Linked DNA regions of Drosophila melanogaster. The protein of the gene in region 1 interacts with the protein of each later gene in a pairwise test. Each region holds a gene or a part of one and is shown in the gene's direction. Other genes may lie near its edges.

Region 1 (3,102 bases):
CAGCACCGCTGCACGTCTGCCGCCGCCTTCTAGTCGGGTATTAATTCCATGCAAACTGCAGATTTATGGCACGAACTTTGCGAATCTGGGTTGGTCCTCTTTCGGTCTGCCGCGGCTCGTTATCCCGAGCTGAAATTGCACGGAAAAAGGTCAAACATATAAATTTGTGCTTTCACTAAAATAACCATAAATAATATGAGTAGTGCGTGCCATCACATTAAATAATCACGTAGATTACGCGTTTGAAAACGTTTTCTGAAAGTGAACGCAATTTTAACTGCGTGTAGATAAAGTGGATCTATAAACGTTCGTTTTATATTGTAGACGACAAACAATATATTATTTTATTCCACAACATAAAACGTTATATATCTACTTGATTTATAAAAGTATTTACAGGTAACCACCAGGGGCTAATATTATTATCTAAAATTTCTAAAACAAATTGATAATCAAAAAAACATCTACACAGCTGGCCCAAAGTAAACGAATGTGTGTTTGTTTAATCATATTTACTTTTGATTCATGAAAAACGAGATTCGACTGATATGTTGGTATATAAACCAGAGGATTGAGCTTTCTTCGTTTAGATCACAAAATCTCCCCAAAACGAAAATGAAACTTCTTCTGGTTCTGGCATTGGCAGTCTTCGTAGCCCACGTGGCTGTGGCCCAGACAACTGATTCGTCTGACGATGGAGATTACTCTTACGATTACGCTGATGACAACGATACTGCCGGTAGCTCCGAAGACAACACTGCTGATTCTGGAGACACTAGTGATAGCTCCACTGACGTCGACAGTGGAAACGACTCTGGGGACGTCGATTCCTATGACGACTACGAGGGCTCTAGCGATGTTACGGAAGCACCAACTGCTGCTCCAGTTGTCAAAAAGAACAAAAGAGCTGGTGCCAGGAAAAACAACAGGAACAACAAGAATAAGGCAGCAGCTAAACGTCGCAATGCCGCCGCTGCCAAGAAAAGTAATAACAAGAAGGCGGCTAAGAAGCGAACACCTGTTGCCGCCAAGAAGCGGGCAAATGCTGGACCCAACAAACGTAGGCGCTCTGGATAAATCCAGTTTATTATATTCGTAGCTACAAATTATAAAAATAAAAAATTATACCAAAAAAATTTGTTCCCAAAATTACCAAGATTTTTTTCTATGACGTTTATAAGTTAGGTTTTGAATTAATATATAATAATGATAATGATATTTACCAAGAATGTGGTTGTTGGGTATGGGTGTTTATTATTATGAATTTTGTACAAAACTTGAATATCACAGAAATTTTGAAATATATTTAACTATTTCACCCAATGTTCAAAAGACAAGAAAACATTCTACATAAGTTTTTATCGGCACGTGTTTTTTCCCTCATTTGTAAATAAATATATTTTTGATAAACAAAAACATACACCGCATATACTTGAAAAATTATATAATTTTAAAGACGTTTAATGTCATATCTATTTTTTCTATAAAACTACTAGCAGGTCGCCTAACGCGTAAACCATAGACAAATTGTTCAAAAATCCAGATAAGACATTTGTGACCTTGGCTCTTTTAATATAAAAGAGTTTATATTACTTTTTCGTGCTCTAACACAAAATATAATTTCATAATTTCAACATATAGCAATCGAAAAATGTTAAACAAATACAAGCAGCACACACAGGTGCTCTAAGCCACCGAAAATTAAGACGATGAATTAAAAAACCAATATTTGCATTCTACAGATGTACATAGAAAAATAATGTAAAAAAGCTTTATATATTTATAAATTTCTTCAGAGGAGAAAAAACTATAAATACCCAGTGTTGAAGACTTTTAAACTCAGACGTTTATACCTAAGGTTACCTATCTGTTCGTTGACTCTATAGATACAAAAAAAAAAAGATGAGGCTGCTGTTGGTTTTAAGCCTGGCCATATTGGTTGCCTTCGTAACGGGTGCTGATGACACTGACGATGACTATTACGATTATTACGACTATGGTGATGACTACTATGACGACTCTGATGTAGAGTCCAGTTCGGAAAGTGGTGTTGGTGCATCCAGTAGCTCAGAAGATGATGCTAGTACCTCCGAGGACAGTTCCTCCGGCGAAGCTTCCGATACAGGTAGTTCTTCAGAAACTTCTGGAGATGGTTCCTCCGCCGAAACGACCTCCAGTTCAACTCCAACCAAGGCAGAAAAAGCCAAGAAAACTGCTGCACGCAGAGCTAGACGGCGCAGGCGCACCACCACCGCTGCTCCCAAACGCAAAGTAGCGGCAGCCGCGTCTGCCAAGAAGCAAACACCTGTTGCCCAAAAGAAGAAGACACCTGTGGCAGCCAAGAAGAAGGCGAATACTGCCGCCAACAAACGCAAACGCACAGGCTAAGCAGTTCGAAAAAAGGATAAATTCCCCATAGTCACTGAAAGTTTTTACATCAAACTTTTAAGAGGACCAAGAGACATCTTGTAGAATCTACATTAGTCTGGGAATATTTCATATGTTGTTTTCTGTACAAAAAATCCATATAAAAATACAAAGATAAGGAGACGTTTTGTAATTTACCAAAAATATACATTATTAATCCAAAATATACAACAATTTTGTATTTGAGGGCTTAAATGATCTTTCTTCGGAGAGAAACTAATCATTACAAATCGTTTCTGAATACTTAAAATCGAAAGCCAACTAAAAATCAAGTATTCCTTAAAAGGAAAAAAATTTTTTGAACGAAACATTCATTTAATAAACTGTTGTGGTTTATATACAAGTCTCTGCAGCCAGATTAGTATAAATCGTTCTAGTGGCGTAGTATTACCAAAGTCAGCTGCATTTTGCTGCATATTTTTAGGCGCCCACATTTACATTTACCAGCGCTTTGGCGCATTGTGTTTCTATTTAGACGTAAGCCAATAGCATCTATAAATAGTAATTATGCCCTCATACAAGTAGACATAAATGCACAGGGACACTTAATTACTGATGCGCACAGGCGACAATTGTTTAATGGCGAAAGGATAACGAAAAGGGAGGAGCCTGAGTAGCGCCATCGGCCACCACAATGGGACCATTGTTTTCGATTTCAATGCCGACATTCTGGCA
Region 2 (3,477 bases), on another chromosome or scaffold:
TTTGCGAGTTGTTGAAAAACTCCCAAAATTAAAATATTGTAGAATATAGAACGCCAAAATTTGGCTTATACACAATCGCGCCTGCTTCTATGTTTGCAATCTAAGTACCAATTTCGTTTCCGGTCAGAGTGCACTTTATTTTGCCCAATGCATCCGTCGATCCACCTGCCAACCCCGGATCAACCCACTCCTCCCCCAAAGACACGTGCAATTCCGGTGGGTCTGGCAAGTTTTCGACTGCGACTCAATGAACCCGCACGAACTTTTGTTTTCATTTGCGAATCACCCACCGAACGCCTCTTAATCGAAAGGATTACGGCATTTTTGGCAAATATGCAAATCCGGCCATGAATGAATGAATAGTAGCCAAAAAAAAGAAGCAGGAAAAAGGCTGGCAGAGTGGTGAGAAGAGGGGAGGAGGAGGAAGGAGAAATGCGTACAAGTCGCTCAATGTCAGCAAAATGTTAGATGCAAATTCAGTTGTTGCCGGTATTAGTATGAGTATGAGTATCTGTATCTGCGGATGGGCAACCGGATGGGATGGCAAGTGAAAAACTTTCACATTTGTGACAATTTCAAATTCATCAAAGACATGCAAAGTTCGGTGGAAAAGTTCCGTGCGCGGTGGCAATCAAAGGAAAGTAACGAACATAGCAAAATGGAGCCGATTCGAACGGTGGCGGCAAACACAAACACAAAATGGCATAAAACCGTAAACAAAAAAAGCAAAACCAAATCAGGCCCACTTCAAGGTCACATCCGCATACATTCGTATGCCTGTTAGCCAAAGTATTTATACGATAGTATCCGATTTTCCGATTGCCAATAAAATGTACTTAAAACAAAGCTGAAAGCCCCATTCCAGTTGGATGGGCATTAATCACTGCCACCAGTCAATACTCGGTGCTTATGGCCCGACTTTGAAGACTCCCCCAACGATTGGACAGGACTCCCGTTTCCTCTGACACTGCTGCAATTCGAAATCAATTGCAATCGAAGTGCCATAAATATTGGACTTAGTCGTAACCGATCACAGAACGGTACCATAGCAAAACTGTCAGACGAAAACTTATTTTAATTAGAAATGCAGTCGGTACGAAATTACTGTGACTGGAACGGCCTGGACTTTATCTATTGACTTTAAATTAAATAGATACTTACATACATATTTTAAATGAAGTCAGCCCAACGTAAATGTATTGCAAAAGGAATCCCCTCAAAGACGTTTTAGACAAGGAACTTTGGGTATTTGCCTAAGTACAAATTAAGCCACCAATTTGATCAAAGTTCACTTTGATGTTTTTAATATCAGCGCAATAGCGATCTAAAGCAGAATCCTCCAAAGTGATGGATTGCATTCGGTACTCGATCATAGCTGAGCAATTTTTCCTTAAAACATTACAATTTTGTATAAATATAATTTAATAAGAATTTTAGTCTTTTAATCAAAGTAAGACTACAAAAATTTAACCTGTTGGTGAAGAATTCTATTTGTCATTATATTTTTATTTATAAATTTAATTTAATTTATTAATATTTAACTTTAATATAATTGTTTTTTATTTAAAATTCGATATTTTCAAATTATATATTTGAAATTGAAATCGCTAGAAATTGAATTGATATGGGAGGAAATTAAGTCTACATATCTCAATGCCCCTATAATTAGGAAAGATTTATTTTGACAGGACTGACATCATTAGTAATAACTTTATTCCAAATAAAATGAATCCCATATTTTTATATTTTTTATGTATACGCACTTATTTTTAATACTTGTATATACAAATTTTATATGAATTTTATAACATTTACGTATACGTACTAATTGCTATCATATTCGAACGACAAACATTCCCGGAGAAATCTTAACATATAGATGTCATTAGGAAACTACAAAAAACCGCTTTCTAAAACTGTATTTTTAGATATAACAAGTAAAAAATCGGAAAAATTTACCACGGGCTACTAGCTATTTTGTAGCTATTCTCGACTGAGCGTTGCCATCCCTGGTCACGACCAGTGTGACCATCGAACTGGTACGACTTCGGCAATTTTCGTAGCTGTCAAGTGACGTGACGTATGTATGGTGCTGTCGTGGCGTTCGCTTCCAGAGAGAAAGAAAGTCGCAGGTCGCCGAGTTGGATAGCCGTAGAGTTCCGCCTATTCCATTGATTACTAAATAAAAACCACCTCATAACTTGATCAAGATGTCCCGTCAACTGTTCGCCATTTGCCTGATTGCCGCCGTTTGTGCGTCCGGCGTCTACGGTAGCTGCAAGGCCACCGTGAGCTCTTTCAGCACCCAGGATGCCACGATTCTGACCCAGCTGGCCCATGTGGGCGAGTTCACGCTGCAGTGCAGCGGAGCCGCTCCCGCCAGCCTGTTCGCCGAGTTCCCCTGCGGCAAGGTGGTGCCGGTGGCCAAGGTGGGCGACAACAAGTACCAGGTGAGCCAGTAGTAGCCCCGTCAAGTTTTGTGCAAAGGCTAATCTCTGTTCTGCACTAGGTGAGCTGGGTGGAGGATATCAAGCAGGGCAGCAGCGGCAATGTTCAGGTGCGTCTCTTCGACGAGGATGGCTATGCCAATGTGCGCAAGGCCCAGCGGGATGGCGACAAGGTTTCATCGGTGAAGTCGCTGCTCGACATTTCCGTGCCCACCAAGGGTGCCTACAAGGGTCCCTGGATCAAGGCTGAGCTTTTGGCCGCCTTCTTGGTCGGCGGATTCGCATACTTCGCCTTCACCACCAAGGGCAAGGTGCAGTCCTAAGTAGAGGATGCCTTCGTCATCGAGATTTTGAATGAAATTCATTCGCACTAAAGTCATGTACCATCAAATTGCCGGGTCCCGGAGATTTTTCCACATTTTGTACACCTAAGCATCGGATCACCCGCCGCTCCAAAATAAACTGATTGAAAGACCAACCGAAGGAACCTAGTTGAGATTAATTTAATTTTAATTTAGAGATAACTTGTACGAATACGCTTAAACCTGGCCCGTGGAGGGCGCTCCATTCATGGTCGCCTCCTCGTCGGAGGAGATGTCTATCATGCTCTCCACACGCGACGGCGACATCACATACACAAAGTGCTCCGTGGAGCCCTCGGGGCCGACTGGCGGCGGGGGTATGACCACGGAGCCGTCCTGCGGCGGCGGTGGCGGAGTATCTATGCTGCAGTACTTGAGATTCCCAGCTCCTCCTCCGCCTGAATCATCCGGCGGTGGCGCTCCACCGTTGCAATCAAAGTTCTCCAGCTCTAGCTCCAAATCACTGACGATTCGCATGCAACGCATCTTGGCGAGCGACTGGAATTTCATGGGCATAGCTCGCACCTGCCGCGCCAGACTCAAGAAGAAAAGAGTGTTTGCGTCAAGTTCTCTGTTGGCCTGTAGCACGGCAGAGACGTCCCAATCGCTCGGAAAACGCGGATCGCAAATCTTACGCGTTTTGGCGGGCGACGGCTGTTGTTGCTGTT

What was found. Proteins that work in one complex are often made in the same cells at the same time.
Region 2: the proteins of CG9040 (region 1) and Tapdelta interact in a two-hybrid assay, tested with the Drosophila melanogaster proteins (one large-scale study listed by BioGRID).

What each region holds. Positions count from the first base shown.
Region 1 is NT_037436.4:13,986,040-13,989,141, forward strand, and holds CG9040 (uncharacterized protein), read left to right. Parts: upstream 1-1,838; 5' UTR 1,839-1,902; coding exon 1,903-2,388; 3' UTR 2,389-2,587; downstream 2,588-3,102. Other genes in the region: CG17362 (uncharacterized protein), read left to right, coding at 616-1,077.
Region 2 is NT_033778.4:11,369,746-11,373,222, reverse strand, and holds Tapdelta (Translocon-associated protein delta), read left to right. Parts: upstream 1-1,887; 5' UTR 1,888-2,210; coding exon 2,211-2,450; intron 2,451-2,509; coding exon 2,510-2,770; 3' UTR 2,771-2,923; downstream 2,924-3,477. Other genes in the region: CG13204 (uncharacterized protein), read right to left, coding at 2,987-3,477.